4 linked regions of the Canis lupus familiaris genome follow. The protein of the gene in region 2 interacts with the protein of the main gene of each other region in a pairwise test. Links are inferred from orthologs where the notes say so. Each region holds a gene or a part of one and is shown on either strand. Other genes may lie near its edges.

The links.
Region 1: the proteins of PRKN (region 2) and RAD1 interact in binary tests that used the Homo sapiens proteins (3 or more experiments, as listed by UniProt). The link is inferred for Canis lupus familiaris from reciprocal best matches to the Homo sapiens genes PRKN and RAD1.
Region 3: the proteins of PRKN (region 2) and GPR37 interact in a two-hybrid assay, tested with the Homo sapiens proteins (2 studies listed by BioGRID). The link is inferred for Canis lupus familiaris from reciprocal best matches to the Homo sapiens genes PRKN and GPR37.
Region 4: the proteins of PRKN (region 2) and SYT11 interact in binary tests that used the Homo sapiens proteins (3 or more experiments, as listed by UniProt). The link is inferred for Canis lupus familiaris from reciprocal best matches to the Homo sapiens genes PRKN and SYT11.

What each region holds. Positions count from the first base shown.
Region 1 is NC_049225.1:74,281,009-74,286,396, forward strand, and holds the start of RAD1 (cell cycle checkpoint protein RAD1), read left to right. Parts: upstream 1-1,636; 5' UTR 1,637-1,948; intron 1,949-2,656; exon of another isoform or gene 2,657-2,838; intron 2,839-3,362; exon of another isoform or gene 3,363-3,510; intron 3,511-4,557; exon of another isoform or gene 4,558-4,699; coding exon of another isoform or gene 4,700-4,966; coding exon 4,967-5,010; intron 5,011-5,209; coding exon of another isoform or gene 5,210-5,338; intron 5,339-5,388. Other genes in the region: DNAJC21 (dnaJ homolog subfamily C member 21), read right to left, coding at 38-70; BRIX1 (ribosome biogenesis protein BRX1 homolog), read right to left, coding at 4,700-4,969, 5,210-5,338. UniProt on the Homo sapiens protein: Component of the 9-1-1 cell-cycle checkpoint response complex that plays a major role in DNA repair. The 9-1-1 complex is recruited to DNA lesion upon damage by the RAD17-replication factor C (RFC) clamp loader complex.
Region 2 is NC_049222.1:51,317,336-51,322,272, forward strand, and holds part of PRKN (E3 ubiquitin-protein ligase parkin), read right to left. Parts: intron 2,921-4,937; coding exon 2,683-2,920; intron 1-2,682. UniProt on the Homo sapiens protein: Functions within a multiprotein E3 ubiquitin ligase complex, catalyzing the covalent attachment of ubiquitin moieties onto substrate proteins. Substrates include SYT11 and VDAC1.
Region 3 is NC_049235.1:10,977,636-10,983,169, reverse strand, and holds the start of GPR37 (prosaposin receptor GPR37), read right to left. Parts: upstream 3,778-5,534; 5' UTR 2,954-3,777; coding exon 1,931-2,953; intron 1-1,930.
Region 4 is NC_049228.1:41,910,456-41,916,026, reverse strand, and holds the start of SYT11 (synaptotagmin-11), read left to right. Parts: upstream 1-1,974; 5' UTR 1,975-2,248; coding exon 2,249-2,282; intron 2,283-2,974; exon of another isoform or gene 2,975-3,078; intron 3,079-5,571. UniProt on the Homo sapiens protein: Synaptotagmin family member involved in vesicular and membrane trafficking which does not bind Ca(2+). Inhibits clathrin-mediated and bulk endocytosis, functions to ensure precision in vesicle retrieval.

The sequences.
Region 1 (5,388 bases), on a different chromosome or scaffold from region 2:
TCCACCATGATGCTGTTGCCTCTACTTTTAAGCTTACCTTTCCCAGTTCCATTCCTCTAGGATCCAGCATAAATCTAGGCTCCTCTGCCAAGGGGAAGCCTCACTGCCTCTCAGGACACAGTGAAAAAACTTCGTCCCCAGAATGCCTGGGGCATTTGTTAGTTGTTCTACGAATCCAACTACCAATTGTGTGTGTTGTGCTGTTTTGTTTGCACTTGTATTTAAGATTTCACGGCTTAGGTACAGCATGTTTTCCCAGCAAGACTCTTGGGATCTCTAAGCACTTCAGAATCTTCCTCTGGTGCCTTGTATATACTGGAGGTTCTAGCGCTAATACGTAAACCTCTCAGAAGCCTCAAAAAGCTGAGGTTCAACGACAGCCCTTAGTTTCCCAGTCCGAAACCTCCCAGGAGCCTGACCTACCACCAAATAAAACATCCAAAGGAAGCGTACTTCTAAGTACACGGGCAAGCTTCGCGAGGGAAGCCACCGCCTTCAAAGTCTCGGTCTGCAGGACACCCGAAGGGGAGTCCGGGTCTGAATTTCAACGGTTACCGGGAAAGGAGTCGGGGCGGGGGGGGGGGGGGGGGGGCACAGCTACTTAACAGACAGCCTGGATTTCAGTAAGCGGCCAGGCTTCACGCCTGGGCAGCCGGGATTCGGCGATGAAGCTACGGGCAGCTACGGGCAGCTACGGGCAGCTACGGGCAGCTAGGCGGCCGGGACCAGGCGCTCGGGGCCCCGGCCCCCGGGAGGAGCGGGGAAGGCGCTAGAAGGCGCTGCGGGCTGCGGGCGCGGGCGCGGGGCGGCCGGGAGGGGCCGGGAGGGGCCGCGGGCGCGGGGGCTCCGGGGCAGCCGGGCCGAGGATGCGGCGGGCGGCGGGCGGCGGGCGGCGGCAAGGGCTCTGCGCAGCGGCACCTGGCCCGAGCCCGAGCCCGAGCCCGCGGGAGGTCGGGGCCGCCCAGGGCCCCGCAGTTATTCGGGCTGCGAGGGCTGCGAGGGGTGGCGGGGGCCCGGCTCGTAGTTACCCGGGTGCCATTTCAGGGCCAGCTTCCGATAGGCCTTCTTGAGCTCCTCCTCGCTGGCGTCGCGCCGCACCCCCAGCGCTTCGTAGTGACACTTCATCGCCGGGCCGGGCAGGGCGCCGGGGCCGGGGCCGGGGCCGGGGCCGGGGCCCGGGGCGGGGCGGGGGCCCGGGCCCGGGCCGAAGGGGCGGCGGCGGCGGCGGCGGCGCTGCTGGGCCTCCTCGGCAGCGGGAGCCCAGCGCCCGCACCGGGCCAGCCAGCGAGCGCGGCGGCGGCGGCGGCGGCGGCGGCGGCAGCAGCGCGGGGCGGCGGAGGCGCGCGACGGCCACAGGCGGCGCGGGCTGCGGCAGGCGGGCGCGCGGAGGGGGCGGCGCCGGCGGCCGCGGCTCCGCATGGGCTGGGGGCGGGCCCGGTTCCCGGAAGGCTGCGCGAGGCGGAGGCGGGGCCCGGACAGGTGGGAGGCGGGGCCTGGATAGGCGGGAGGCGGGGCCCGGCCGGGCGGGAGGCGGGGCCTGGACAGGTGGGGGCGGGGCCCGGACAGGCGGGAGGCGGGGCCCGGGCGGGCGGGGGCGGGGCCCGGACGGGCGGGGGGCGGGGCCGCGGCGGGCGTCATAGTGAGCGGCACAGTGGGCCGTCTGTGTAAGGAGCGCCAAGAGGGCAGCCTGCCCGAGGCTGATGGGGAGTCTGATGGGAGATTCTGGAAAACACCTTGTTTTCTGAAGATAATTTCTCAGTGGAGCCCCGTTTTTAGAGGAGGCAACTCGGACTCCAAGTAGTCGAGTGGTTCATTCAGGCCTCCCCAACTGCTCAATGGCAGGATTCAGGTGGACCCAATACCGGGTGTAACTCTTCAGTTCTCTCCAGCCGCCACTCATCGAGATCTCTAATACTGCTCAATCTGACCAATATGCAGAGAAATAACGGTAAATATGATGGCCTAAATTGGAACAGTGGGAGACAGCATCAACACATTTTTTAAAACATACCAAATGTTTTACCTCCAATATGGGTAAAATTGTGCTAACCCATCCATCCATTCCTCTCTAATCCTAACTTTCTGGTTTCTAATCCTACATTTCCTAGTATTTAACCATTTTTTCCTTGATCTAACTGATAAGAGTATTACAGGATGGGAGATCCCTACAACTGTTCCAAACAATTTGATAAGGTATCAAAATAGTATTCTAATTATCATTTAAATATGTTGGTGAAATATGCACACCAATGTATTTCATTGTAATGTGGAATGTTTACATACATCAGTTGTTAGGTGTCGGTTTCGTCAACCATGCATAAAGAGGTTTGGCTCTATTGCTAACATCTATTGTACAAGGTGGTCCCTCGTTTCCCTAATACTCTGCCCTATCAATCAAGACCAACCAACCCTAAACCTCATCAAGTTTTTCCACACCACTATTCAACCAACTCATACTCAAAATTCATACACCTGCCTCCTTTTCAAAGAAGGAAGATACCACACACCACCTTAGTTTGTAAATCGGCAATGGATAGTTGAGTTTGAATACAGGGCAAAATAGAAACTCTCCCCATTTGAGAATGGCTTTGCGGTAGGAATAAAACGTGGCTAAGAAAATAACTTTTTTCCCCCAACTACATCTGGTTTTGTTTAGGACTTGTGAGTCACCTGCCTTTTTCCTCCTGAGAGAAGAGGGAACTCTTTTTGCCTGTAACATTGTACAGCAACGTAAAGACAATTACACTGGATATAAATTTGTTTAAAGAATTACCTTTGTTAAACGAGTTGGCTTCTAAATGAACATGGACTATAAAGACGAATTCTCATTCAAATGAGGTACTCCTATAAATGACTGTAAAAGGGAAGTAATTTGGGACAGGAAAATATGTAGAAACTGATAATCAAAATTGTAAAAAAAAAAATCCATGAAAACTCTACAACACACACCTCAGAATATGTTAAAAGTTTGGGTCTTCACTCAAACTCACAACTTGTTGAGCCAGTTTATTTTATAACCTATAATTAACTTCTTGAGATGTGAGTATTTAAATTCAAATCCTGAATTACAGCTTTTCATCCCGGGCTATATTCAATTGCTGAAATAAATCAGCTTTTTCTCCCCCTGCACTTAACCAGATTTGGTCTTCATTACCAGACACAAGTATTTTAAGTGAACCTCTTAAAAAAAAAAAAAAAGTGAACCTCTGAACTGACCTACCTGCTTAATATGAATTGCAAGATAAGTAGCCTAATTTAGACTATTTCAAAATAAAGTGGCCTCATTGTACAATCAAGGCCTTTCTTTGAAAAAAATTAAGAAAAAATGAAATATAATAGAAAATCAATTGTTCTGTCTACAGATTTAAAGAACAAAATTAAAATACAAGTGAGGAACCGGGAAAGATGTATAGAATAACTCAGCCATAGAAGAGCTCTTACAAATTAGTAAAAGAGAACTACAAAAACAAGATTAGTAACAAAAGAAAAACTATTATCTTCCCCAAAAAGGTATTCTTTTTTAACTTACCAAACTGACAATGATTATTTCACTGTTGTCAAGTGTCATTATTTCACTGTTGTTTTAAGTATATGAACTCTGACCTCTGGTGAAATACAAAATGTCTTAACATTCGTATCTTTTGACTTGAGTTCCACTTATACGAAACCACAAGGGTGATATAAAATAATTTACGTCAAGAAATGTTTGCTATAAGCACCCATAAGTTAATAACTGAAATATCCCACAATAGGGGATAGATTGTATAGTTACGGCATAGAGTGGAATACTATGCAATTAGTCATGTTCTATAATAAAGACATGGGGAAATGATTAATATGAAATAAGTGGGTCACAGAACAATACACACATGATCCAATCCTGTTATGGATATGTGTATGTAAATCAGTCTGCCTCTTCAGCAGCTACCTGTCCATGGCCGCTAACACCCAGAATCTTGTCTTTCCCTCTTACTAACTAACCTCCAGGATATAAGCTTCCTGCTTTCTGCCTCAAACAGTTCTTTCATCAGGAGAGAAACTCACATGTTCCAGTACCCTCTAACTACTGTTCCATTTTCCTTCCTCTTAATTATTAACTCAAGCAATTTATACCCACTGCTTCTAAATTAAATTTGTAATCTACAAAATACTTTCAACACATATATTAAATCCTTTGATTCTCTAAACCTAAGAATTTTTATTGTGCTCTTTCTTGAGGTGAGAAAAAAGGATCAGGGATTACCTTTTCCAAGGCCTCTTGCATTGGTGACTCAGGGACTCCGATCTCAGTAAGATGTTTTTTCTTTCTACCAGTCTATCTGCAGGTTACCGTCCGAAATTATGCTCTCAAAGTGCCTAAAATTCGTTGTTTTACAAGTAGCAAATGACCCAGTAAATCTGTTTCAATTTCAGCTTTGCTAAACCCAAAATTTAAATCCAAGAAATCAAGGCTAAACCTGAAGTATGCTGAATTTTAAGTAATATCAAACTAGCTTTGAAAAGAAAAATAAATTAATTGATGAGTTCTGGTAATATTTAGAAAAACATACACACCACTGAAGCCACGAAGTTTAATTTGGTTTTTCTGTCTTAAATGCCACACTAATGAGATGTAAGGTAGTCCTGGATAATAAAACCGTATTTACACACTGAATACAAAATAAATATAAAATTACTGAAAAGTTAGTTATCCACTGATTCATTTTGCACTGCCACTGTTCATCTTCTGTTTCATTTTTCTTTGCCTTTTGTAAATCCTTTTCTTTCTTGCCTTCAAATCCACTTTTGGCTCTGGTTTTACCCACTGTATTTCTATCGGCTTTTCATCAGCTGGTATAACAAAAACATCAGCAGTGGGATCGTGTGGAAGAATAGTCTTTGGTTCTTTCTTTTTCATTTTCTGTGCATCTTTCACTTGTTGTTTCTCTTTGTATTTTGCAGCTGTGATGGATCTTATGATACGCCGATGCTAAAAACAAAAAAAAATATCAGATGCATTCCAAATATATGGTGAGAACATTCACTTACACATTTTTTCCCCCTTCATTCTTGTCATTAAAAAAAGTAGTAATTTGCAAAAATGTGTGCAGAAAACAACAACAACAACAACAACAAATTTAGTTTCATACTTAACAGAAATCGCTTGACAGAATCATTCTGGCCAGAGTTCTGGGCATTGAGGGACCACCAAACAGCAAAAATAGCTTACCATGTTTGGTGACTGGTAGTTAGGATTTTCATATAAAGTTGGTCCTCCAAAACTTCCCTGGAAAATCTTTATGAGATTTAAGACAAAACGAGGTCCTATTTCTACAAGAGCAGCATCTTCTTCTATGATCTTTAATAAAAAGGAAACATTTCATTTTGGTTTGGATATATTGTTCCTCA
Region 2 (4,937 bases):
CCTATTTTTGTACCCATTAAATTAATCAATATTATTTTTTATACCAATGTTCATTTAAACTTGTATTTATCCTTGTATTTTTGAGCATCATCTCTCATATCCCATTTTGTCACTTTGAGTTCAAACCCATTCCTCGCTGTTGTGAGTACTTCAACAGTTCTTTCACACTGAGTACAAATACTCTCAGTGTTCATCTGAAAGTGTCTTTATTTCCCTCTCACTCTTGAGCAATATTTTTGTTAGGCCTGTTGGGTTTGGAGCCATAAGTTAACAAGTGTATCCCTTGGCCATTTGATATTATTCCAATATTGTTTTCTTCTATTATTCCTGCCAGGACCCATTCGAATTACTGTTCTATTATAAGTAATCTCCTTCTTCAATTGGTTTTAATATCTTCTTTTTTTCCTTGGTCCTTTACTTTCTTTATAAAGTGAATTTATTTTTGTTCATCTTGATTAAGACCAATTGTGTGTTTCTTTGTTTTATTATGCTTGGGACCATGTACTCTTGAATCAGAGGACTTACACATACTGGAAAATTTTCAGTATTCTCTTAGAAAACTGTCTCTTTTCTATTCTGTATTCTCCTGTCATGAAACTCATCAGAAATATGTTTGGCCATCTCTTCCAAACTTTCAGTCTCCTAAAAGCATTGTTTTACATTTTAACCTGTACCACTTTGGACAACTCCTTCATTTCTATCTTCCAGTTGACAATTTCTCTCTTTGGCATTGCCAAACTTGCTGTTTTAACCCATCCACTGAGGACTTTTTTTTTTTTTTTTTCATTCCAATAGCTAAAATTATGTTCTATTTAATAGCTGTTCTTCTATTATGGTTGTATTCTGTTTTAGGTTTCAATTTTTTTCTTTTATGCTTTAATTAACATCAAAAGTATTTGTTTTGTGTTCTGTTTCAAATTGTTACTTTATTTTCTCAAGTTTCAGGGGAAACCAATCTTCCAGTTTATGGAATATACTTACTTCTACTCAAGACAGAATGTCTCTTTGTTTGAATTGTAATGTTTGATGACGTGTGCCCCTTTAAGAGGGGGTGATTCCCTCTGGAAGCGACCTGCCATGCCACCTGAATGTTCTCTAGAATAGCTTTTATGTATGCTCCACTTGAAACATCAGATGCACCATAAATCGGAGTCCAATACTTATATTAACTTTCCATTCTGGATCACATGGGTGCTGCAGAGTTTTAGATGGATCTCATTTTTCCCCATGTATTACATTTTTTCCTATGTCTCATATAATCCTCACTTACTGTATATAGGAGAGAAATTTACTTATACTTTACAAAGTCATTGCTATTATTTTGTGCTTTCTGTCACACACAGGCAAAAAGAATCCTGTTATACCTTTGACTATTTTTTTTTAACATTTTATTTATTTATTCATGAGAGACACAGGGAGAGAGAGGAAGAGACACAGGCAGAGGGAGAAGCAGGCTGTATGCAGGGAGCCCGACATGGGACTTGATCCCAGGACTCCAGGATTACACCCTGGGCCAAAGGCAGGCGCTAAACCACTGAGCCACCCAGGCTGCCCCCTTTGACTGTTTTTTTAAAAGATTTATTTATTTATTTATTTATTTATTTATTTATTTATTTATTTATTTATTTGAGACAGAGAGGCAGAGAGACAGAGAGCCTGTGTGTGTGCAGGAACCTGGGAGTGCACAGCAGTGGGGAGGGGCAAAGGGAGAGGGAGAAGCAGATTCCCTACTGAGCAGGGAGTTGGAAGAGGGGTGGGTGCTGATCCTAAGACCTTGAGATGAGGACCTGAGCTCAAGGCAGAGCCACCCAGGTACCCTCAGGCACCCCTACCTTTGACTATTTAGATCGGAAAATAAAAGACTGGGCAGCCTGGGTGGCTCAGCAGTTTAGCGCCACCTTCACCTGGAGACCTGGGATCGAGTCCCGCATCGGGATCCCTGCATGGAGCCTGCTTTTCCCCCTGCCTGTGTCTCTGCCTCTCTCTCTCTCTCTGTGTCTCTCATGAATAAATAAATAAAATCTTAAAAAAAAATAAAAATAAAAGATTAAGGGAAATACATTAATATTGGCAAAATAAGAAAGGAATCGCCATCCTTGCTAAATAAAAGCATTTTGAAAATGGGGTGTAACACGGAAAGACAGAAACATCGTTCACACTGCGGGTGTTATTGACATTGTAATGTCTTAGCACTGGCACACGATTAAAGTTACCTCTAAAGTTCTCTTTCTGTTTTTTGAAATTTCCCTACATCATCAGAAACACAATAAACCAAAATGTATTTTAAGAAAATAAGAAATAGAAAAAGAAAGGCAAAACCTGGGAGGGATATAGATGCACCTTAATCATGTATTTTGACCCTAGCTCAATGCATCATATTTCCAGCATCCTGCTTCATCTTAATTAATTAAATTTAAAAATAACTAAAATAAAATACCATGACCATGGTCCTGACACCTGCTCCAGCCCTTCCCTTCATTCTTAATTTGAAAGCCCTGTTCTATTGTATTTATTAAATGTATTCACCTCAAATTTTATAGCCAAGTGCCATCCTTCTAATGATGCCTCCTTCTAGTAATCCAGACCTTACATGAATTAAATATGTACATACTGAGCCCCTTCCCTGCAGAGGTCGGCTACACAAAGTGCTCTATTGGCCGTAGACATAATCTGTACAATTACCTGGTCTTCTGGCTGGCAGAACCCTCTCAGAGTCGTCGCTCAGGATCACAGCTAGACCCACCGAGTGGGCTGGGAGGACAGAGCTGCTGAGGTCCACACGCGTTAAGCTCTCAGGCTCTCTGTCTGAGCCCTCCACTGCCTTCCGTGGGCCATCTCCTCCAGGGACCTCCCTTTCTTGGCTTTTGCTCCAGGGTCTCTGCACAACGTGAATGATGCTCTGCTGATCCAGGTCACAGCTCTGTGTGGGAACAAGGCAGACACAGACTGAGAAAGTGCAATCATTAAAATGCCAAGTAAGGTTTGACTTGTCCTCCATCCCAGAGTCCACAGAAGAGGCTAAGATCTGTTTAGGCCCAAGGTTGCAGCAGTCATGGAACTTGAGAGCCATGTGTGTTTGATAGAGGCAGACACAGGGTCAGCAGGGCCACGGCACTCACACACATGCCTGCTACCAAAACGTGGGGATACATGGAACACAGCAACAGAAAACTAGGGTAACAGTCAAAGCAACACGAGAGCTCATAGGGCAAAAACGTACCACACTGCACACATAAGCACAGCAAAAAGCAAAATTCTTTTAAAATTGATTTACTTCTGAAGTGATGTGTCCTCCCAATTCTCAGATATAAATACTGGCATTCATCTCCATTTTATAAACAGAGGGTTGGTTATTGTCAGTTACAGAGCATTTCTCTCTACAATTTAAAATCATGTTTATGGTAGACTCCACACGCATCCCCTATGTCACCAGCAAACATCACCACAGCGATGGGGAAGCAAGTGAACAGCATACGCAGGCCAATCCATCCAAGATCACAATTAAAATCAGTGAATATGTGAAAAAATGCTCTGCATCAATATATTGATGTGTATGAACAGAAGACTGTAAAATTTACTAGAATTAAAGTTAGAAGTCAGATAATTTGCTAGGGCTAAAACAAGACTACCTGAGATCAAAGCCTCATCTCAGAATATCTACTGGATGGAAAATCACTCATCTGTCTGCAGTCCTCCTCCTGCAGAGCCAGGACCTCGTTCTTTCGATCAATCCCTGAATTTCAATATCTATAAACTACCCACAATCATGCTCTCATCGTAGCAATGTTCAAACAACACCATGCAAACACAGCAATGCTTGTAACAGTCATAACTGGCCCCCATCCTCCCTCCAGAGCTCCATCACCATCACCAGCAAACATTTATGAGGGGTGCCCAACATGCAGCAGCATTTCCTGCAGGCTCACCTTGTGGACTCAGAAGATCACTGGGATGCCCTCTGGTCCTCAGTACCATTTCTGCTTCTGTACCCCATGCCCCAGGCCTCTGTCACCTGGACATGCTTGCTTTCCTTGCCACCTGTCCTCACAGCTCTGTGAATCTCAGGGTGGCTCCTACTCAGCCATGGTCACTGTGTCCTCAATCTCCATCTTAGTCTGCCCCACCTCATGTCCCCATTTCTGTCGAAGCACTGCCCTCCTCCATGGTACACAGGCATCAGGCCCTCCCCCATCACCTACAACTCTGATGATCCTTCTGTGTCTTCTGATGGCTTCAGTAGAATCACCGCTGTGGGCTCCTCCACCCTACCATTATATCCAGCAAGGTGCCAAGAGCAACTAATTCTGATTCAGAAATTGCCTTCATATCTTCCTGCTCCTTTACTTCTCAATTGCCACCTCCCCATTTTAAGCTTTCATCATTATAGTAGCTGTGCAATTGCTCCCTGACCTCCCATCTCCCTCTATCATCTATTATGTACAAGTTTCTGGAGTGTGCGACATAACCTTTTCAAATGTCTCACTATTACCTGTTGTATAGAATCTGACATCTTACTATCATCTTCAGGTGTGCTTAGACTTTTCTCTTTTTTAGATCACCTATCTCATGATTTGATCTCCTTTCCATCTCCTTCATCGTATATATGAGAGATGAGATTTTTCATCAGAGCTGTTCACTCCCATCTCTCCTTCTAGACTTGATTTGGGCTCAGTCACGTGACTGGCTTTGGCCAATATGATTGAACCAGGGCCTTAAAATGTATCTGCACCACTGCTGTGGTCAGCAGTAGAGCACCTCTGGGTGCTTTCCACCTCCTGAGCCAGGGCCCCATGTGTACATCTGACACAGACCTGTGTTCAACCACAGAGAGGACCAGGGCAGCTGTACCTACAGCTTGAGAAAAGCCTTCCAGCTTGAGGCAGGCTGGCACCACGGACCCCCAGTTGACATGAAGGAGATGCTCATTTGATGTACGG
Region 3 (5,534 bases), on a different chromosome or scaffold from region 2:
AAAAAATATTCTTAAGGATCAGAGAATTAAATTTAAAAAATGAAATAAAAATGAAAACACATATTTAAAAATAATCAGAGCTAAAGAGAAAGAAAATTAAAAGACATACATGATAAATACCATCACTCAAAACTCTTAGGTCTCATAAACTTACCAAAGTTTTTATATTCTTTTCTGAATTTGGATGGAATTCCTTTCTTTTGAAGGTTTTTTAAAGAACTGAGTAACTTTTTTTTTCTTTCCCCAGTTTCTTTTTTCTGTCCTCTTTACCTTGTTTTTTCCTCTAATATATAAAGCCTTCATCATGCCCATTTTAGACAAGCCAATACACTTCTGTTACTGGGGGTAACTCTCCTGTTCACTTTATAGTTTACTTTTGTCTCATTCTTGCATATGTCAATTTCTTCTGTATTATTCAAGAAAACAATCAGAGAGATCTTAAACATTGACCTTGAAAAGGCAATTGATAGATACATCTCTTTTACATAAATTCAACTACCTCCGCTGCAATTAAAAAATGAACTGTCTACAAATAAAATAGATATTTCAGAGCTACATGGAGCCTGGCAACAAAAGAAACCCTAGGTTTTGGTAAAGTAGCAACAGCTGGTTTAGCCAGTATGGAATGATTCTGCATCTGATCCCTGCCAGGATAACAGAGGGTCTTATTTACTATCTCTTCCCTTGTTCGTCTAAGTAGGTACTGTTTTCTGTTTACTTATCTCCTAGCTTTGAGCCCTGGAACAATGTTGAACATAGTGTCACTGGCTCTGGTGCCAGACAGGATCAGGGGCTCTGGAATATTTACAGTTTCCCTTCTTCTGCTTCCATAAATGAAATGGGCAGTCTGAATGGAGGAAATCAAGGGCCAGCTGGCTAAAAACACAACTGGCAACAAAGCACTTGGGCTCCTTCCAAGAGCTGGTGTTTAAAGAGAGGCCATTTAAAGAGCAAATACCAACTACCATAATAACGGTCCAGGACACTAGCTGTACGATGAAAAAATAAAATTTTACTCAGCAATATTTTTGTCTCCAAAGTTTGGAACCTATTATATGCCCCCCTTCTTCTTAAAAAATTTTTCTACTCTTAGCTAATCCCTTAAAATAACCAATCCATTATATCCTAACAAGTGACAAGTACATACTATATATGCATGCTCAAATATATATGTATGTGTGTGTGTGTGTATATATATATATATATATATATATATATATGTATATGTATGCAAATTCAGTGCCATGATGGCCAAAGTGTTATTCTTTGCTTAAACTCATCCATAAAAAATAAATAAAACTGTTAAGAAATTGAGAAGGAAAAGGAGAGAAATAAGAAATGACATAAGAATTTAGATGGGATAGCATGGCAGACTGCCAAAGGACACTTAAACTAATTTGGGAGGTTATTAATATATCATGAAGCCAACTGACAAAGGCAGATTTCCTTTGTTAAATAAAATAGTATTTCCATTTTGATATTTAAGAAAGATTCAATAATCTCCTTGGGAAAAAAATCATGTTGGAGCACTACTTGAGAAACAATACATGATTTTTGGTTGTTGCTGCTGAGTTCTGGTAATGACAACCACACAATGGCCATTTATTAACCCTCGACTCTCTGGTGCCAAATCAAGGCTATATATAAATGCCATATTCGGAGGGATCAATTTAAAATGTAAACAATTCTATACATGATGAAAACATAATTATTTCAAAATCCAGGAGCAGAAGAGTTTGAAAGTGAGCAAACAAAGCTGCCTCTCTCTTTTTCTCTCTCTTAATGATTGACAGGAGAAGCGGAGGAGGCCCCAGAAAAAAAGTAAAGGGGTTCAGCAGCTAGGTGGGTGCGTGGAGCAGCAATTGGGATGCTATACATCCCCGAAATGGGTAAAGCCAGTAGTTTGAGACCCCCTGGAAGACATTATTACCTCGATATAGGGCACAATCTTGCAAGAGAAGTCCTCCAGCAGCCACTTCTTCGTCAGCTCGTGAAAGATGACGAGCGGAAGGCAGAAGAAGATGATGAGAAAGTCCCAGAAGGCCAGGTTGGCCAGGAGGGAGTTGGAGATGCTCCGCATGTAGTAGTTGTGACACACGATGCACATCACCGCCAGGTTGCCAATGATGCCGGTCCCGAAGATCACCACAGACAGACACATGACCGCATAAGCTCCGTAGGACTCCTGGGTCAGCGGGTAGAAGGGGTTCTTCAGTCGCAAGCGCCGGTGCGTGCTGTTCCCCCGGCGGAGCCCCCCGCGCTCGTGGACGCCCTCCCCTGAGGACCCATTCTGGGCCAGCGCCCTGCCAGGGGGTGCGATCGTCCGCCCTTCGTGCCCCGACGGTCCATCGACCGTCTTGGGTGGGGGGTCGTGGTGGGCACCCTGGGGTTTCCCGCCTCTCCTTGGCCAGTAATAAAGGTCGCTGGCTGCAGGTTCTGTCCTCACACTCGGCTCCTGGCTGTGCCCAGAAATGCCAGCGCCTCTAGGACCCTTCTCTGCCCCCTCTGAGCTCCGAAGGAAGAGTTGGAGAGCCGGGGGGTTCCCTCTTCCCAAAGTTCCGGGGGGCTCCTGGCCCCGGGCCCCTCTCCACCTCCAGGCTCCAGAGGGTCTGGCGGGAGGTCCCGAGGGTTCCGCGGCCGACACCTCCGGCCCTGTCCCCGCACCTGGGTCACCGCCCCGGGCAGCCCTGAGGTCCCGCCAGGGCGCCGCGCGCGCCGCCGGCTCCGGCTCCTTCTCCCTGGGCGCTCGGGTTAGCAGAGGGTCCCCTGCAGAACTTCGTCCCCACGCGTCCCTGCTGCGGCGCTGGCTCAGTGCAGGCGAACAGTTCTGTCCTAGGCAAGCCTCGTTCCCGGGCCAAGGAGCGGCCCCGAGGGCAGGCGAGGCGGAGAGCTTGAGCAGTAGCAGAAGCAGCAGCCGCGAGGTGCGGGCGAGAGGCGCGCCCGGGGCCCGCATGGCTCGCAGAGGGCGCGCCCGGCAGCGTGGCTCCCGGTTAGCACCGACACCTGCTGCCTAAATTGCTGCTGAGAGTCGGACACATGTCACATACTCACCCCCGCCCCGGCGATGGGGGACGGGAGATTACGGAGAGGTTGGGGGATGGGTCTTGGGTCACAAACCCTCCCCTTCTACAATCCTTCCTCTTTCGGCTTCCCGTGCATTTCGCAGCCAAATCCAGCCCGAGCGCCGCGTATCCCCAGGGTTCAGAGGGGGAATCGCTGCTCTCGGTGGCCGACCTTGAAAAGTTGCCACCAGCACCTGCTTGTTGGTTAATGTTGCGACTGGGAGAAGCCCGGACCAAGCCCCACGTTCCTCCCTGCCTTTGGGCGGCTGCCTTCTCGGCAACAGTAGCTCTGCCTATTTACTTCCTTTCCATACCGCTTTATCCAGTTGGGAACAGTCGCGCTGCCTTTTTACACCCTTTCAATAACCGCTTTATCCAGTTGTAAGCCGAGGTCGCTACAGGGAGAGAAAAACGAGTTGCCCCTTTGCGGATGACTGGCAGCCACCATCCCGCTCCCGGCTCGCTGGAAACAGGTTGCAAACAGCTGGACGCTGCGCCGACGCGCCCGGGGAAACTCTCGCCCCGCCTAACGCCAGCGACCTGCGAGGCTTCTGCTGCCGGGGAGAAGCGGGATCCGAACCCCGCGGCCACCGTCAAAGTTGCTGCTCCTCCCGCTCAAAGTTGACCGGGGGGCGGCGCGGGCTCGCGGGCAAGGGGCTCGGTGGCGGGGGTGGGGACGCGGCCGACGGAGCTCGTCGCTGCCACAGCAGGCGCTAGGCGGGCGGAGAGTGCGGTGCCTGGAGCGGCCGCGGGCGAGGCGGGGCGCGGCCGGGGAGGGGAGGGGAGGGGAGGGGGGAGGGGAGGGAGGGGGCCGGCCTCGCCCCGCCGCCCCCGTGTCCGCGCGCGCCGCCGGGAGCCAGCGCTCGGCCCCGGGCCTCCTCCTGCGAGAGATGCCGTGGTGCGCGGAGGAGGCTGGTCCCCTGGCGGTTGACGACTCGCGAAACGCACACGCGTTTCATTCAAGCCCTTTGTAGCGGCCTTGACCTGACTCGTGGGAGCCGGGAGCGGAGAGGCCCCACGGGCGGAGGCGCGGGCGGGAGCCGGGCGCGCCCCGTCGGTTCCCCAGACGTCGGAACCAGCGCGGCGGCTCCCGGGCCCCGGGGAGGAGGAAGGTGAGCCGCTCACCTCCCTCGGGACTTCCAGGAGCTGGGCCTCGAGAGGAGGAGGAGGCTCGGATGTTTCCATCGCAGAGACAGCAGTTCCGAGAGTGGGACGCGCAGCGAACGTGTTCGGGGGCGCCGGGACCTGTGACGCCGACTGGGGAAGCAGGCCCACGGGGGTTGCTGGGGAAGCAGCTCTGTTTGACGGACTCGTGGGAATGACAGGTGGGCGGACGGGGACAGCGCGGCCCGCCGTGCAGGTGCGGCCTTCGCACCAGACCTCGCGCTCCTGCCACGGCTCCTCGGGGCCTAGTTCGTGAGACCGGCGGCTATAATATAAAACAGGCGGATTGATTAAAAGAAAGTGATAGAGGGAGAAATGAATGCGTTTTGAAGTGAAAAAGGGCAACATCTAGAAAAACAGGAGAAAATACAATGAAAACCATGACGCCGAGTATGACAGGTACAGAGTAATGGCCCTCCAGAAGAGGCCCACGGCCTAATTCCCAATACACGTGAAGATGTTATCTGACTCGGCAAAAGGGACTTTGCAGATGCGATTCGGTTAAAGATCTTGAGAGGGGAAGAGTATCATGAATTATTATTATTCAGGTGGGTCCACTGAGATCACAACGGTCCTTACAAGAGGGAGGTTACAGGGTCAGAGTGAGGGTTTTTTGTTTGTTTTCTTTTTGTTTTTGTTTTTGTTTTGTTTTGTTTTGTTTTGTTTTTTTTTTCCAGGTGGCAGAGATACCTTTATTTTTGCAGAGCAGAGGCAGCATTTACTGGCTATGGAGTCTGGGTGGCAGCTGTCCTGAGGCTCCTCTCGAGTACCTTCTGGACACCGGTCTCCAGTCTGAGGAGAAGCAAGGCCGCCATGCTAGGGGGCAAGGCTCCCCCTTACTCCCTGAGAGGTCTCCAGCAAGCCCTCCACCCGAGACAGCTCTCACAGGGTGCCTTCTAGGAGGTACTGTTGGAGGTAGGACTTGAGGGCAGGTTCAGGGGCAGGCTTCCTTTCCATCACAGTGAGTCAGTGAGCCAAGTAATGCAGCAATCTCTGGAAGCTGAAAAAGTCCCTGCCTGTTCATTTTAGACTTCTGACCTCCAGAACTATAAAACAATGAATTTGGCTTGCTTTAAGTCACTGAGTTTGTAGGAGTTGGTTGCAGCAGCAATAATAAACTGATATACCAATTAACCTGAAAATGTAGACAGCAACATTTTATTGAAAAATATTAACTACCAAAAATAGTTGGGAAGAATTTTTTAGAAACCTAAAGATAACCATAACATTAAAGAAATCAAGTCGGGACCCCTGGGTGGCGCAGCGGTTTGGCGCCTGCCTTTGGCCCGGGGCGCGATCCTGGAGACC
Region 4 (5,571 bases), on a different chromosome or scaffold from region 2:
CGGGTCCTTACTGCGCTTCCCACCGCGGCTCCGAGCGGCGGCCCAGGTCCCCACGCCCAGCCCGGCACCGTCACACACCCCATGCTGACCCGACCCCTCTGCCCGGAAGCCCAGTTCCCACCTGCCTCTTCCCGCCCCACCGCACGCGCCCTGCCACCCTCACCAGCCGGCCAGCTCCCGCGGAAATCCAGCTCCGCCAGCGCCGGAAGTCGGCCAACGGCAGCGCCGGACGTGCGCGCCCCCGAGCGGCGGTGCGCGGCGCCAAGCCGCCAGGGAGCATGCGCCAAGCCCCCAGGCCCCATGTTAGGTGAGGGCGGACTGAAGCCGGCGCGTCCGACGTTTGCGAAAGACTTTAAAAGCGAGATTCCTTCTCGCTTTCTCTGTACGCGCAGCGATCCTACTCAAAATAAGGCTGGACTTTGCGACTCGGTGGTGTGCTTTGACAACTCTTCGTTCCCGCCGCGAAATACCTGGAACGCGGAACCGAGGAAGTGGCGAATTCATAAAATTGCAGGAAAAAGACCCCCGGGCTTGTACCAATAGTGCGGGTTCCCCAATAAAATGGGGGCAGGCTTGGACTCAGCCCGCAGTGATCGCTGCGGTCTGCATAATGCTCTTAATTCCATAAAATGCTTTCAAGTAAGTTATCTTAGGTGACCTGATCCTCGCAGTAGCCCCGGGGGATAGTGGCTATTACACCCTCCCCCGCGTACGGAACACACTCCTGGCTCGGCGGGGTAGGTGATTGCACACATGCAGCTGTGGAGGGACCTCAGGTGCCCTAACACGGCTCAGCTGGTCAGGTTCTTAAACACACACAGCTGTCCAAGGACCTCAGGTGTCCTAACTCTGGCTCGGCTGGGTAGGTGGTTCCACGCACACAGTTGTCGAGGGACCTCAGGTGTCCTAACTCCGGCTTGGCTGGGCAGGTGATTGCATACACACACCTGTTGAGGGACCGCAGGTGCCCTAACTCCAGCTCCTGACATGCCAGGTCCAGCGCTTGGAAAGGCGCCCGGGATGGAGTGCTGTTTATTAATCCAACACACGGGGTTTGAATGAATGCATGATTCCTAGACCCACGTTCTCTCCACTTTTCTGGAAGGACAGAATGTCGAAGCTGAAACAATACACCCAACCATCTCCGTTTGCAGGTACACCACCAACAGCTACTCATGCGTTTAAATAATTTGACCTGATCCTGTCTGTAAACAGGATGAAAGCGTCCACAGCCAAAGAGAAGAGGGAAATTGCGGTAATCGTGCAGACGACTGCCAGGAGTCTACAACCTGAATCACCCTGCCTCTCCCAATGCCAAGGAAGTCTCTAGAAGCTTGGAGTTTCCTCTGTATCCTGCTCTTCAACCTGCAGGATATACAGTTCTGTCGGTTTCCTTGCTGGCTCTGCCCTTGTGTCTCCTTCTCTGACCCCCTATAAGCCCTTGGAAGTTTTTGTAAGAGGAATACCCAACACGGGTTAACTCTGACACACCTCATTAGTCTTTTTTAAAAAACAGCTTTCATTTACACCACAAAATCCATCCGTAGATGGATTGCAGAATTGTTCTACAAGTATCCCCAGTAAGTTTCCAGAGTTGTGCAACCATCACCTGGTTTAGTCTTTAATCAGAGCTTCTGAAGTTTAAGAAAGTTTCCATAATAACATTTAGTAGTTTCAGAAATGCACAATAATGGCAAATGATACTGAAATGCAGACAGTATACAATTTTCTTTTTCCAAAATACTAGGTTCCGTCACCCTGAACATTCTGCTGCTGTATTAAGCCCCGGGAACCGGAACCACAGGATCTATAGAACTGCATAGGGAAAGACACCTACAGCTCTCAGACCACCCCACCCATCCGCGGTCCGCCGGTGGGCTGGGTCTCCCTCTCCAGAAATCTCGGCGGTCCCCTCGCCGGGAGCTTCCGGGGCGGGGCCTGGCTCCCGGAACTCTTCGGGCGGAGGCGGAGTCTCCTGCCGAGGGCCGCTCGGAAGAGGGCGGGGCCTACCCGCATCAGGACCAGTCTGGCTGCACCTGCATCCTTCCGCTCAGAGCATCCCCGGAGCATCTTAGGAGGCGGCCGCAGCTGGCAGTCAGGGGCCCGACCGTCGCAGGAGGTGTCCGCCAGACACCTTCCCCCTCCCCTGAGCTGGCCCTCTACAGCGGCGGCCTCGGTGCTGACCGGGCGCCCCCAGACTCGTCTGATCCCTGAAAAAGCATACATAGCAATAGCCTCTGATTACGACATGGCTGAGATCACCAATATCCGACCTAGCTTTGGTAAGTAGAGTGCGGACAACTAAAGCCTGGGGCCGTGGGCACCGCCGCACAGCCAGGGGCGCCCAGTGCCGGGAGGGAGCGAAGCCCACCCCAGGGCCTTCAGGGTCGGACCCGCTAGGATTGGGCCTGCGACGGCGAGCGGCGCCAGAACTTGAGCTGCGGGTGCAGGGGCCAGCCAATCCGGGGGTCCCCGGGGGTCGCCGGGGGTCGCGGGTCGCGCGGAAACCTGTGTGGCCCGAGTCGGCGCTCTGCAGGGGAGGAAGGGAGGAGGATGAGGACCTCTCCCCCTCGGGGCGCTCAGGGCGGTGCCCCCTGCTCCCCCTCCCATTCCTCGGGCTGCGGGGGAGGGCAGCGGCGGGGGATGGGCGCCAAGATGGCATCTGGGGGGCTGGGGGGCCGGGGGCCAGCGGCCCGCTGCGGGGAGCCGAGGCTGCGGGGGCGCCAGGAGCTGCTGCCCAGCGGGCGGGCGGGGCGCGGGGCGCGGGGCGCGGGGCTGGCGGCCGCCCAGGGCCCCCAAGTGCGGTTCTGCACCGTAATGGTGGGTCCGTCCGATGCTACCAAATGGCGCTTGGCGCTGCCGAGCTAGGGATGACGTGATGTCTATTCTGGGCCTCCTGGCAGCGCCCAGGCCCCTCTTCCCGGGCCTTTGTTCCCTGTTTCCCTGGCCTGGCCTTTCCGAAAGGGGGACTCACCGCGCCGGTGCTGGCGAGGGCGCGGACCAGGCCGGGGGGAGGGGCGGAGAGGCCGGGCCGGAGGGAGGCCGCTTTGTGTACCCTGCAAGGCATTACGTCACCGCGGAGCGGCTGGTCCCCGACCCGGGCCTCTGGGCTGTGATCCCGGCTGTGCTCCCAGGAGCAGAGAGCCCGGTGGAAAATATGGAGGAAGACGCGAGAGAAAAGCTGAAAAAGCAAGTTTTTTCCTCTTTGGGGCTTCCTCCAAAATGTGCTAGGGTTGCAAACTTCCTGGGCTATGTTTTCCTGGTTCAAAAATAAAGGAGTTACCCTGTTTCTCCCTCCTTTTCACCTCAGCTTGGATGAGAGCCCCAGGTTCCTTCAAATCCCCTAAAAGAGCACATCCTTCAGGCAATCCAGAAGGTTTGAGCATCCAGACAACAATTTTTAGGGCGGGGCCACAATCCAACTAGGAAATGGCTTTTCTCCTTCCCCAGTAAGAGGTTGGTGGAAATGAGCAGAACCCCATGAGCTCTCCCACCTCAAAATCAGGAAGAAGATATCAGATCAGGGGAAGTATCCAAAAAACAGATCACACCCATTAGCTACTGGTTCTTACTGATTCCCCAAGGCTAAATCTTAGTGGTATCTCTTTTTTCCACTTCACCTTCTGCATCTCTACCTTTGAGTCCTACATTTCCAAAACTAATGTCCCTTTTGTGGTCACATGAGCACTCCATGATTTTCTTCCTGTTCTTTCTCTTTTGTCTTATGCCTTCTATCCAACATATTCTTTTCTCTAATTGCAGTCCCAGATTCCTTGGAAAGTTAGAAGGTGTGGAGCATGATATAGTAGTTTCCTTTAGAGGGAATATTAATGGAAAAGAGAAAAATTATTTCAGCATTTTACCTACTCCATTTTATTTAATCCTTACAATATCCTCCAGTGTAGGCATTATTATATATATTTGCCAGATGAGGAAACAGGTTCAGTGAGACAAAATAATGAATCAAGTCAAACAAACAGCAAGGGTAGCACAAAGACTTAAACCAAAGTCCAGCTTATGCCAAACTCCATTGTCATTTCACTGTGTCACTCTGGCCCACTTGACAGGAAAGGCTATAGTAGAGGGAGTGTCAATAGCAGGTCTAGTCAAAGGCTGAGAGACCTAGGCACAGCCTAGATATGTCTTACAGATCTTTAGATGTATACAGGGGTACTACATAGAGAGCTGCCATTTCTGATTTTCTCACATTTCATAGAGTACTTCATTTCAAAGGCTTTAGCTCTTTGGAGGTACACCAAGCCAACACTCAATTATCCATGACCTTGGAGGACAAAAGGAGCAAGCAGCACAGTCACTGCAATTTATGACTACTTTAAAGCACTCACTTTAGCCATCAGTTCCACTTCCTTTTCCCACCAAGCTTTTGATGAAAGCAAAATAGAGGGTTCTGAGTTTCAGCATCTCTGATTTTTCTAGTTCATTGTCTTGGGTGTGAGGGAGAGAGGCAGGGGTTAACAGATACCGAAATGAAGAAAGAGGGGGGAACCCTGGGTGGCGTAGCGGTTTGGCGCCTGCCTTTGGCCCAGGGCGCGATCCTGGAGACCCGGGATCGAGTCCCACGTCGGGCTCCCGGTGCATGGAGCCTGCTTCTCCCTCTGCCTGTGTCTCTGCCACCCCCCCCCTCTCTCTCTGTATGACTATCATAAATAAATAAAAATTAAAAAAAAAAAAAGGAAAGAGGGGCAAAAGTGGGAAAACAGGTGGAGGAGAGAGAGCCTGGATCGTCCACAGATGGCTTCATAGGTTTGTCTTCCTTATCTGTCCTCCTGAAACGTGAGAATCCCTCCTCTTCTTTTCCCATCCCGCCTCCATTTTCTTTTTTTCTTTTTTCTTTTTTAAAGATGTTATTTATTCATGAGAGACAGAGAGAGAGAGAGAGAGAGAGAGAGAGAGAGAGAGAGAGGCAGAGACACAGGCAGGGGGAGATCAGGCTCCATGCAGGGAGCCTGATGTGGGACTTGATTCTGGGTCTCCAGGATCAGGCCCTGGGTTGAAAGCGGCACTAAACCGCTGAGGCACCTGGGCTGCCCCAGACTCCATTTTCTAACAGCATGTGTGGAGGCATCCTAAACCCTAGAGTGGGCTCTCTGAAGACCACAGAATAAATCTATGATAGAGCCAAAAGGATCACTCAGATGTCTCCCAGCCTGGGCCATTAGATCTCTCTTACAAACTATTCTCAAAAATGCACCTGTCTTGTTGGTTCCTTGCTTTCCTCTTCTCATGGAGGCAATCTGTGTTCACTGTCATTAATCAGTAGCAAGCAATTTTCAGGAAAGTCCCTGATTGATGAGCAGAGAGCCACTTTTTCAGACTGTGCCCATTTTCATTGACCATTGAGTCCAATCAGTTTTTCAAATATTTACTGAGCTCTTATTAGATGCAAAGACTCAGGGACTCAGAGATGGACAGGATGTTATTTCCACCAGGTTTTTTTTTATTTTTTTATTTTTTTAATTTTTTTCCACCAGTTTTCAAGGAGCTTCCTACCTAGGAGCTTCCTACCAAGGCCGCTCCCATTTTGTGAAGCCTGTCCCTAGCAACTCTTAT